3 linked regions of the Macaca fascicularis genome follow. The protein of the gene in region 3 interacts with the protein of the main gene of each other region in a pairwise test. Links are inferred from orthologs where the notes say so. Each region holds a gene or a part of one and is shown on either strand. Other genes may lie near its edges.

Evidence for each region.
Region 1: the proteins of PSMA1 (region 3) and HSD17B14 interact in binary tests that used the Homo sapiens proteins (3 or more experiments, as listed by UniProt). The two-hybrid records come from large-scale screens. The link is inferred for Macaca fascicularis from reciprocal best matches to the Homo sapiens genes PSMA1 and HSD17B14.
Region 2: the proteins of PSMA1 (region 3) and keratin, type I cuticular Ha8 interact in binary tests that used the Homo sapiens proteins (3 or more experiments, as listed by UniProt). The two-hybrid records come from large-scale screens. The link is inferred for Macaca fascicularis from reciprocal best matches to the Homo sapiens genes PSMA1 and KRT38.

The regions. Positions count from the first base shown.
Region 1 is NC_088393.1:56,819,694-56,823,906, reverse strand, and holds the start of HSD17B14 (L-fucose dehydrogenase), read left to right. Parts: upstream 1-1,403; 5' UTR 1,404-1,526; coding exon 1,527-1,614; intron 1,615-2,097; coding exon 2,098-2,136; intron 2,137-3,073; coding exon 3,074-3,156; intron 3,157-4,213. Other genes in the region: PLEKHA4 (pleckstrin homology domain-containing family A member 4), read left to right, coding at 51-163, 558-820. UniProt on the Homo sapiens protein: Catalyzes the NAD(+)-dependent oxidation of L-fucose, yielding L-fucono-1,5-lactone, which rapidly converts spontaneously to L-fucone-1,4-lactone. Can also act on D-arabinose and L-galactose, with lower catalytic efficiency. Does not use NADPH.
Region 2 is NC_088390.1:62,486,649-62,490,739, forward strand, and holds the start of keratin, type I cuticular Ha8, read right to left. Parts: upstream 2,811-4,091; 5' UTR 2,749-2,810; coding exon 2,257-2,748; intron 2,070-2,256; coding exon 1,987-2,069; intron 1,191-1,986; coding exon 1,034-1,190; intron 697-1,033; coding exon 535-696; intron 455-534; coding exon 329-454; intron 152-328; coding exon 1-151.
Region 3 is NC_088388.1:51,244,637-51,248,148, forward strand, and holds part of PSMA1 (proteasome subunit alpha type-1), read left to right. Parts: intron 1-58; coding exon 59-129; intron 130-245; coding exon 246-375; intron 376-3,296; coding exon 3,297-3,376; intron 3,377-3,512. UniProt on the Homo sapiens protein: Component of the 20S core proteasome complex involved in the proteolytic degradation of most intracellular proteins. This complex plays numerous essential roles within the cell by associating with different regulatory particles.

The sequences.
Region 1 (4,213 bases), on a different chromosome or scaffold from region 3:
CCTCTCCCCCATGTACACACCCCACCCCCAATCTTCTTTTTTTTTTCTAGTCCAAGGAACACCACCCCTTACTTGCCGACTTCCGAAGGTCACCGGGAGCGGGTTCTCAGCCTCTCCCAAGCCCTGGCTACTGAGGCGTCGCAGTGGCACAGAATGATGACAGGTGACTGGCTGGGGATGTTGAACTTCTGGGTTTTAGGGAGGAGAAAGCTGGAGACCTGGAATCCCAGGTCCTGGAGAGGAGGGGTCTAGGGGCCGGTGGGAATTTTTTATGTTGGCGAGGAAAGAGTTGGGCAGAGTTTGGGAGTTTTAGGTCTCAGGCAAGAGTGGACTGGGTTCCGGGACACTTGGGAGGAGGGGAGGAAGAGGTCAGGGGGCGGGGAGAGGACCGACATCTGAGTCTGAAAGAGGTCTGGACTGGGGTGTCCAGACTCCTGGGTCTGAGGGAGGAGGGGCTGGGGGCCTGGACTCTTGGGTCTGAGGGAGGAGGGGCCTGGGAACCCGGAGTCCTGCTGCTGAAGTTTGCCATTCTTATGTCTCCCACTCATCCTCTCTAGGTGGAAATTTGGACTCCCGGGGAGACCCTCTTCCCCGTGTGCCGCTGCCTCCTTCGGACCCCACGCGCCAGGAGACCCCTCCCCCAAGATCTTCCCCGGTGGCTAATTCGGGTTCCACAGGGTTCTCTCGCCGAGGGAGTGGGCGTGGAGGAAGTCCCGCCCCCTGGGGGCCCACGTGGGATGCCGGGATCGCCCCTCCGGTCCTGCCCCAAGACGAGGGGGCGTGGCCTCTGCGAGTCACTCTGCTACAGTCCAGCTTCTAACCCGCCCAAACGTGGCAGCCAATCGGAGCGTGAGCACGTGGTCTGGAGGTACCGCCGGAGATCTGGGACCACTCAGGGCATCAGGGGCGTGGTCTGGTCCCCATCGCCCGTCCGGGAGGGAAATGGTTTCTATGGCCAAAGTTTGATTTTCTCAACACTGTCTAAATTTGGATTAAAACTTTGAACTTTTAGTCAATAGCTTTGTTTCTGTCTGTTTGGGGTTGTTGCACTGGGGTCTCTGAGGGGCAGAGCCGGAGTCGTGCACTCCTGGGTCCTGAGAGAGGAAGGGACAGGGTGCTTGGACTTACAGGTCTCTGGGAGGAAGGGATAGAGAATCTGATCCCTCAGTCTGAGAGTGGAGGGGCCTGGGTCAGGATTCCCGGGTCTGAGGGAGGAGGGGTTGGGACCCTGACTCCTGGGTCTGAGGGAGGAGGGGCTGGGAGGCTGGACTCCTGGGTCTGAGGGAGGAGGGACTGGGGCTCCTGGATTCCTGTGTCTGTGGGAGGAGAGGAGTGTCTGAGGGAGGAGGGGCTGGGGACAAACTTCCAGGTCCCTAGCCTTCCTGGCAACGCCCCCCGAGGCTGGACTTCCACGATCCAGCTTCTATTGAGGATTTGATGCGACGGCCTCACGTGGCTTTGGAGGTGAAAAAGGCCCAGAGTAGAGACACAGAGAGAGAGAGAGAGAGAGAGACCGGTGGACACGGATGGCTACGGGAACGCGCTATGCCGGGAAGGTGGTGGTTGTGACCGGGGGCGGGCGCGGCATCGGAGCTGGGATCGTGCGCGCCTTCGGTGAGCCGGGTCTGACTGCTGGGAGCTGTGGAGCGTGAGAGAGGAAGGATGGGGGCGGGGCGATGGGGGCGGAAAATAGGGTCTCCAATACTGCAGCCGGGATTCTGATCTTATAAAAGCCAATTTGCAGGCTAAAGTAAGCGTGTGGCGCGGTAGGCTAGGGCTGTCTGGCAGGGTCTCCGAAGGCAGTGGCCCCTTTCTCTGGGTCTGTTGGTATAGCTGCAAAACCAGTGGTTTGGGGAATGGCCCTGTCAGTTGTGGAGTTTGCTCTGGAACCCACGAACGGGGGATCAGGAGCCTCAGCAGAAACCTGGGCAGGCAAGGAGAGTATGTGTCAAGGCCTCTGCCCTCTGTCCTGTGGGTGATCATGAGACTGGGGTCACGAGGGGAGACGGAGATCGGCCCCAATCCAGGTGGCCACAAGAGGGCGGCAGAGGCTTTAACCAAGACTCGGAGGGTAACGTGTTGCCTTCCTATTCTCAGTGGACAGCGGGGCCCAAGTGGTTATCTGCGACAAGGATGGTGAGTGAGGGTCCCTCAGCCCTCAGCCCTCACCCTGGTCCTTCCTCCCTCAGTCCAGGGGTCCAGGAGCCCCAGCCCCTCCTCCCTCAGTCCAGGGGTCCAGGAGTCCCAGCCCCTCCTCCCTCAGACTCAGGAGTCCAGACCCCCAGCCCTCCTCCCTCAGACCCAGGAGTCCAGACCCCCAGCCCCTCCTCCCTCAGACCCAGGAGTCCAGACCCCCAGCCCCTCCTCCCTCAGACCTAGGAGTCCAGGAGCCCCAGCCCCTCCTCCCTCAGACCCAGGAGTCCAGACCCCTGTCCCTCCCCCCTCAGACCCAGGAGTCCAGATCCCCAGCCCCTCCTCCCTCAGACCCAGGAGTCCAGGACACCAGGCCCTCCTCCCTCAGACCCAGGAGTCCAGACCCCCGGCCCCTCCTCCCTCAGACCCAGGAGTCCAGACCCCTGTCCCTCCTCCCTCAGACCCAGGAGTCCAGACCCCCGGCCCCTCCTCCCTCAGACCCAGGAGTCCAGACCCCTCCTCCTCCCTCAGACCCAGGAGTCCAGGCCCCCAGCCCCTCCTCCCTCAGACCTAGCAGTCCAGGCCCCCAGCACCTCCTCCCTCAGACCCAGGAGTCCAGGCCCCAGCACCTCCTCCCTTGGACCTAGGAATCCAGGGCCCCAGCCCCTCCTACCTTGGACCCAGGAGTCCAGATCCCTGTCCCTCCTCCCTCAGACCCAGGAGTCCAGGCCCCCAGCCCCTCCTCCCTCAGACCCAGGAGTCCAGGCCCCCAGCCCCTGCTCTCTCAGACCCAGGAGTCCAGGCCCCCAGCCCCTGCTCTCTCAGACCCAGGAGTCCAGGCCCCCAGCCCCTCCTCCCTCAGACCCAGGAATCTGCAGGCCCCCAGACCCTCCTCCCTCAGGCCCAGGGCTCCAGGCTCCCAGCTCTTTTCTGCCTGCAGAGTCTGGGGGCCGGGCCCTGGAGCAGGAGCTCCCTGGAACTGTCTTTATCCTCTGTGATGTGACTCAGGAAGATGATATGAAGGTGAGCCGAGTTCCCATTCCTACCCCCATCTCCGCTAATGACCAGTTCTTTGTTCTCCTCCAGCCATTTGCATGTGCCTTTCCCTCTACTTTTCCTTCCTCTCCTGGCTCCACTGGACCCGTCAAAGGTTTCCAACCAGTGTCACTCCACACACAAGATCTTCTGTGACTGACGAGCAGGTCACATGTTCCTTCTCTCCCACCTCTCCAAGGCTCTTAGCACATCTGACACGTGGGTGGAAAGGAATAAGTCCCTCAAAGTGGGTCAACTGTAACTGATTTTTCTGTCTCTTTTTTGGAGGTGTCACTGTCACTGAGGCTGGAGTGCAGTGGCGTGATGTTGGTTCACTGCAACCTCTGCCTCCCAGGTTCAAGCCACTCTCCTACCTCAGCCTCCTGAGTAGCTGGGATTACAGGCGTGTGCCACCATGCCCAGCTAATTTTTTTTTTTTTTTTTTTTTTTTGAGACGGAGTTTTGCTCTTGTTGCCCAGGCTGGAGTGCAATGATGCGATCTCGGCTCACCGCAACCTCCGCCTCCCGGGTTCAAGTGTTTCTCCTCTCTCAGCCTCCTGAGTAGCTGGGATTACAGGCATGCTCCACCACACCTGGCTAATTTTGTATTTTTAGTTGAGATGGTGTTTTTCTGTGTTGGTCAGGGTGGTGTTGAACTCCCGACCTCAGGTGATCCGCCTGCCTTGGCCTCCCAAAGTGCTGGGATTACAAGCATGAGCCACCGCACCCGGCTAATTTTTGTATTTTTAGTAGAAACGGGGTTTCACTATGTTGGCCAGGCTGGTCTCGAACTCCTGACCTCGCGTGATCCACCCACCTCAGCCTCCCAAAATGTTGGGATTACAGGTGTGAGTCACTGCACGTGGCCTGTAACTGATTTTTTTCTCCATTATTTCTGGGTTCCTCTTTCTTCCTTTTAATCAGTATCTCTCTGTTATCTGCCCCCCTTTAGTAACTGTCCCCTATACTCTCTCTGAATCCTTGTCACCCCCATGCCCCACCCCCTAACCCTGGGTGCAGTGTGGCTCTGACCAGCCCTCTGTCT
Region 2 (4,091 bases), on a different chromosome or scaffold from region 3:
GCAGCACCTGGTACTCCTGGTTCTGCCGCTCCAGGTCAGCCCGGATCTCGGACAGCTGCTCCTCCACGTTGCTGATGAGGCTCTGCATCTGGGCCAGCTCCGTGCCGAAGCGGTCCTCAGCTTCACACAGGGAGTTCTGCAGACAGTCCTTCTGTAGTGGGAAATAAGGGGATAAAATGTGCAAGGCCCCCAGGGAAACTGCTACATGCCCCAGATTTTGATGGTGATAACAGGTGGGAGAAACCTGGGCGGTGAGACCTCCAAAATAAAAGGCTACTAGGCCATGGCACAGGGCATTTGCAGTGCAGTGAGGGTGAAGGACACATACCAAGGTGTGCTGGGCTTGGCGCTCCACCTCCAGGGCATTCACTGTGCATCTCAGCTCCAGGATCTCCGACTGGCAGCACTGCAGCTCCTCGGAGCAGGACATGGCCTGCAGGCTGATGCCTTCAGACTAGAGCACGGAGAGACATAGTCACCTCCCTGCCCAGATGGAGGCCAGGTACCCCCTGCTTCTGTACCTCCTCCGTTCACCTGGGCTTGGAACCACTGTTCTACATCCTGGCGGTTGGTCTCCACCATGGCCTCGTACTGAGCCCGCATCTCCCCCAGCACCCTGTTCAGGTCAATGGTGGGCTCAATGTCCAGCTCGATCCGGAGCTTCTCCCCCAGCTGACTCCTCAGAATCTTTACTTCCTGCAGAAAGGAGGAAGGGACAGACAGCCTGTGTGAAGAGAGGACCTTTGATGGAGCAGACAGCACCAGTACCCTGACCCTGCAAGCAGTGGGAGGGGAGTCCCACACACAAGCAAATGGGAAAGTCTTGCTGAGAGTGCAGTGGGGAGAGCCCACCTGGACACCTTCCTCGTGCCCAAGGCAAGTCTGCACAGAGGACCACTGCACCCTCAGACTCACCTCAGCCCTGCATCCTGATGCCAGCTGAGCCCAGACAATGCTCTGAGAGCCCCGGGGCCAGGGAGCTCCCCTGTCTGCCCAGCACCCTCCCCGGGAGTCTGAGCAGCCAGGGCCACACCTGCTCATGGTTGCTCTTGAGGGACAGCTGCTCCTCCTTCAGGGACTCCTGCTGGGCCTCCAGGTCAGCCTTGGCCAGGGTCGCGTCATCCAGGAGCTTCTGCGTCCCACACTGGTCCGCCTCTACCAGCTGGCGTAGGGAGCGCTCACTCTCCAGCCTTCCGTCACGGGAGGTACAGGGTCAACAAGAATGCCCCAAGAGCCCCTCTCGGCTGCCCTGCCTTCTTCCTACCTCCCACACCACCTTGGATCCTCATTTGTTCACTGTTTAGCCCTCTGGCCTCGAAGGTGAATTAGACACAGCCCCCCTTCTCAAAGAGCTCATGGTCTAATGAAGCAATCACAACACTACATTGCACAATATACATTTTTGCCATTGTATTCTGTGGCAACTGCAGTTCAGGAAGATGAACTGACTTGCCTAAGATCATGCATCTTGGGACCAACACTCGTGCCATTGCGGGGACTGTCAGTTACCAAAGATAAGCAATAGCCAGGTGCCTGATCGTGATCTGCGGCTCCTTATGCCTTACTTTTCAGCTGTCTTCCCCTCTCTCATTTTTGCCTAGGTACCTTATGCCTGGTACCTTAGGGCTCCATAATTAAATCTGAACAAAGACTCATCTGTAAACGACTTCTCTGACTTATATATGAAACCCAATGGCTGTCTTGCTCAGTTCATCCTTGAAATCCCCTCATTTTGCTCCTGGTGAATGAACTCAGGCTCCCTTATCCTCCATTTTAGGGAAATAAATGAAGGAGGACAAACATATATGCTTGGATTAATGAGGAGTTTTCCCTTCCATCTTTCATCAGCTTTGATTGTAATGAAAATTTTACTGTGGAGAATCTAGCAAGGAAGACAGGACAAACATTCACTCACTCAACAAGTATTTGAGCACTGGGATGGAGGGTGGGGAGGGAGTCACCCTGGCCCTCCTCCACCTGACTTACTTGATCCTAAAGTCATCGGCAGCCAGCTTAGCATTGTCAATTTGTACAATCAGCCTGGCATTCTCGGCCTTGCTGCACAGGATCTGAGGAAAACGGAAAGACGGTTCACATACAAAGCATCATACTCTAAGCTCTCACTCCACGTGTGGTGTCTACGCTCATGTCCAAGAGAAACCAAGAACCCAAAGCTCTCTGGACCTTATGTGGATTCCTCCTGCGAAGGCTTCTGCCTTCTCAGACCCAGCATGCCCAAGCGATCCCACACCTCACCTTCTGCTGGAGCTCCTCAATGGTGCGGAAGTAGGACTGGTAGTCCGGGCACACAGTGGACTCGTGGCACTTGCTCCTCTCGAGGAGTGTGGCCTCCAGCTCCGCATTCTCCCGCTCCAGCTGGCGCACCTTCTCCAGGTAGTTGGCCAGGCGGTCGTTCAGGAACTGCATGGTCTCCTTCTCATGGCCATTCAGGGTGTTTTCACCATAGGCCCCACAGATTCCAATGTTGCCAGGAATGTGACAGGTCCCTGGCAAGGGACAAGCATTGTGGCAGGTTGGGGGCAGGCAGAGGCTGGGGCGGCCCAGGGGAGTCGACCCCACGCGGACTCGGTTGGCATGTGCCACGTTGGCCAAAAGGCACATGGGGGCAACGTTGGCCTCTGCCCCGGGCTGGCACCCAACGTCGATGGAAGAGACAGAGACATTTCTTGCTCCAGGAGCCACGGTGCAAACCAGAGGGCATGAGGAGCTGCTGTAGGAGGAGGTCATGGTGTAGGGCTGAGACTGCACAGGAGCTTCAGATCAGCTGGGAACGCCGAGCCACTGAGACTGAGGTCTCCTCTCCTCCCAGCCCTTTTATACCCCGTCCTGGGTGGGTGTTGGCTCCAATGCTTTGACCTCCTGCCTTGATTATCTACCTGTTGTGGTGCCATCATCCTGTTACTCAGCTGCTGAGTTTACCATGAAAAGTTTCTCAGCTCATTAAAGGAATGTTGACGAATCTGAGATGCCTCTTGGCTCTTTGAAATCAGGTTGGCTGCTGGTGGGAGGTCAGAAGGTTTTTATTATTTTTCAAAGAAGCAAAGTTATTTTAGCCATCAGATGCTTAGACCTTGACTGGGTTTGGCCTCTTTATGGATGTGTCCACTCTGGAGACACAAACTTTCCTGTTGGTCAGTGGTGTAGCAGGAGGACTAACCCTTGTAATAGCAATGGTTCTCACTTGGGTTAAGACTCAACCAGCCTTCCCTATCCAGGGAAGAAACTAAGTCTTGGTATTGGTGGATGTTACGGCCTTGGGTTATCAAGAAGTCCTACATTTCTTCTTTCTTTAGTTGGTTGCCTTTCAGACTCACTTTGAGGAGCAACAAGACTTAGATGAATCCATTCACTCAACACACATCCCCTAGCTATGTCCCATTTGTCAGGCACCTTGCTGACACTTGACATATAGTTGGTTAAGCACAGAACAGTTCCTGTCATTGGGGAACAACTGTAACTTGGATAGATGTGATGTTTCAAACAAGGTATCTGAGAAGCTCATGAAAATGAGGATGACTCCGAAAACCATGGCTTATCTCGACCAAGAAGGCAAGCTCAAGAAGCCAGAAAAAAACAAAAAGAAATGAGCAATAATCTTACTGAACCTCAAATAAGAACTTTGAGAAAAGAACTCATGAAAGCCAAAGAACATTGAGTGATCAGAGCCTCTGTGGGCTCTCTTCATACCTTGCTTCCTTGATTCTAAAATCAGTCATGAGCCTTCACCCTATGAGCTAGGGGATTGAGCAGTGATACCTTTTAATCTTTACTTCCAACCTGGGAGGTGGGTACTCTTAATTTTACAAAATAAATAAATAAGCCATTGAGGACAAGAGATGTGAAGTCATTTTTCTAAGATCAACCTCACTATGAAGTATAAAGCCTATTCTTAACATCAGCTTCTTTCAACTGCAGAAGCTATTTCTTCACCTTGACTACCACCAAATCTCCCACCCCCAAGGATAACTACTGTGTCATTGCTAGAACTAAGAAGGATTCAAAGGCCTAGAAACCGGGCAAGAAGTTGAAGTGAAGATGTAAAACAAAAATCTGACGTTGTGTATTTTTCC
Region 3 (3,512 bases):
TTGAAAATAAAGATAGTACTTCATTCCTTGTTAAAACAAGCTCTTTAACCAGTCTAAGAGACCCAGATACCAACACAACGATATGGCCGGAGACCATATGGTGTTGGGCTGCTTATTGCCGGTTATGATGTAAGTTCATTGAATATTGTTATATGTTAATGATTTTTTTTATTAACTAGAAATTTTTATAAATTTTAGTTCAACCAACATAAATAATTATGTGGTGTATTTATTTCTATTTGTAGGATATGGGCCCTCACATTTTCCAAACCTGTCCATCTGCTAACTATTTTGACTGCAGAGCCATGTCCATTGGAGCCCGATCCCAGTCAGCTCGTACTTACTTGGAGAGACATATGTCTGAATTTATGGAGTGTAAGTGATAGCCTTGCTTTTTTTTTTTTTTTTTGGCCTCTTCCAGTCTATATAGTAAATAAATATAGTATCCTAACTACATAAAACTATCAGTCTTACAGAAAGAATTTTTTTTTAAAATTAAGCCCCAGAAGAGTTTGTTTCTGTCACATATACTAACTTCAACTTCTGGTTACCGCCAGAAGTTAAAATTGATACCGTAGTTTCAATCACGACTAGAACTTTTTCAAAATATAAATGTGTTCCCAACCTTGAAAATTCTTGATTCAGTTGGTCAGAAGTGTGCCCTGTGGAGTGGAGAGTGGAGAACCACTATACTACCTGCCAGTTGTAAGCTCTGTTCACTTTTAGTTTTCTGTGAGTCTTATTTTAAGCCACACAGACATTTCTGCATTAGTAGTCCATAAACAAGAAATAAAAAGGCAGTGTAGCTGAGGGAAAAGAAGGTAAAAGAGGTAAGATATTATGACAGGGCAGGTTTTCAAGTGCTTTGCTTTGCTTTGCATTGGAAGGAGGATATTGGGTTTTACATTTCTTTGTCATCTTATCTGTTTTCTGGTGACATAGCATTCTTTGGAGGAAATATTTGGGGTTTAGTGAATGCAGAGAAAAATAGTTTAATTGACATTACTCAAAGCAAACTGTTGTAGGATGACAATAGGTTTAACTTTGGGAAAAGAGGATTCCTTGGACAAATAAGCTTGGTAAATGCTTGCTTAAAGTTTAACATTTTAAATTATGGTAAATGGATTGGGGTCCCCAAGGTTACCCCTAAATTGGGAGATTTGCTAGGACTTAAAGCACTCAGCATATGGTTGTACTCCCAGGTTAAGACTTATAACAATAAAATAACAATACATAGGTGGATCATTAAGGAAAAATACAGTCCAGAGGAATCTATGTGCAGGCTTTCTTATGCTCTTTCCTTCCCAGAAGGAGTCACAGAGTACACTTGCAGCAATATGTATGTGACGTTTCTGCCCAGGGAAGCTCATTGGAAACTCAGTGTCCAGTTTGATTCAGAACTGCTCATATCGGCACCCTCTGCCTAGCACATTTCAACCTGCATAGGAAATTCCTAAAGATTGCAATAAATCCATAGATAATTTTGGGGAGTACTGTTACTTAAATGATACAAGGCATCTGATCCATGAACATGGAATATCTTCATTTATTTAGGTATTTAATTATTTTTTTCTTTTTTTTCTTGAGACGGGGTTTCGCTCTTCTTGTTGCCCAGGCTGGAGTGCAATGGCACAATCTTGGCTCATTGCAACCTCTGCCTCCCGGGTTCAAGCAATTCTCTTGCCTCAGCCTCCTGAGTAGCTGGGATTACAGACTCGCCACCACGCCCAGCTAATTTCATATTTTTAGTAGAGTCAGAGTTTCTCCATGTTGTTGGTCAGGCTGGTCTTAAACTCCCAACCTCAGGTGATCCACCTGCCTCGGCCTCCCTAAGTGCTGGGATTACAGGCATGAGCCACTGCACCCGGCCAGGTATTTAATTCTTTCACTGATGTTTTGTAGTTTTCCATGTACAAATCATATTTGTGTTATAAGTATTTTATTATTTTTGGTGCTGTTGTGAACAGAATTGTGTTCTTAATTTCATTGCATATTATTCATTGCAACTACGTAGAAATACAGTTGATTTTTGTATATCAATCTTATATCTTGCAATCTTGCTGAACTCGTTTATTAGTTCTAGTCATTTTTTTATAGATTCCTGAGATCGTGTCATCTGGGAATAGAGATAGTTTTACTTTCTCCTTTCTAATTGCCCTGGCTGGAACCTCTGGTACTAATGATGAATAGAAGTTGCATGAACAAACATTCTTTTCTTTGTTCCTTAACTTAAGGGAAAAGCTTTTAGTCATTCACTATTAAGAATGATGTTACCTGGCCGGGCGTGGTGCCTCACGCCTGTAATCCCAGCACTTTGGGAGGCCAAGGCAGGTGGATCACGAGGTCAGGAGATCGAGACCATCCTGGCTAACACGGCGAAACCCCGTCTCCACTAAAAATACAAAAAATTAGCCGGGCGTGGTGGTGGGCACTTGTAGTCCCAGCTACTCGGGAGGCTGAGGCAGGAGAATGGCATGAACCCGGGAGGCAGAGCTTGCAGTGAGCCGAGACTGCCCCACTGCACTCCAGCCTAGGCGACAGAGCGAGACTACGTCTCAAAAACAAAAATGATGTTACCTGTCAGCTTTTTGTAGATGCCCTCTATAAGAGGTTGCTTTCAATTACTAGTTTTGTGTTTTTATTATGCAAGGATTTTAGGTTTTATCACATGCTTTTTATGCATCTCTTGAGGTGATTATGCAGGTTTCCCCCTTCTGTTAACGTGTGTTACACTGACTTTCAGTTGTTAAACTAACTTATCATTCTTGGGATAAATCTCGCTTGTCTATGGTATATAATTTTTTAATATGTTGCCAGGTTCCATTTGTAGTTTTTGTTGAGGGTTTTATTTTTTTATTATTGTTATTATTTTTTGCATCTATATTGGGTCTGTAGTTTTCTTTTCTTGTGATGTCTTTATTCTTGGTATCAGTAATACTGGCCACATAGAATAAGTTGGAGATTCCTTTTTACAATGAGCAAATATAGGGACTAGGATTCTACAGAACACATTCTACAAAACTTGGAGTTGTATAATTTGTTGTCGGGATTTTGATTTGACCTAGCAAAAGAGAAGATCAAAATTGTAACAGAAATAATGAGTCCTCTCATTAAATAATGATCAGCAATGTCACAGAATGCTATTAAAAGATTGTATGACTAGCATTAAACTTGGCTGTTTTTACTGTGATAAATTTAGTGTGTAACTAAAAACCACAATTTCAGACTGTAGATTTGATCAATAACAGAAGCCTAACAATGAAATTAAGAAATAATTGTTGATTTATTACATATAGGCAATTTAAATGAACTAGTTAAACATGGTCTGCGTGCCTTAAGAGAGACACTTCCTGCAGAACAGGACCTAACTACAAAGGTAAGTATTGTCTTTTCCAATTGTAGATATTAATGTTACAGTTTAAACCTTTATTGCATAAATGTAATGGAGTATATATACAATATTCTTTAATTTGGGATATGATTGTCTTGCAGATTCTTTCCCTTTAAGCTAT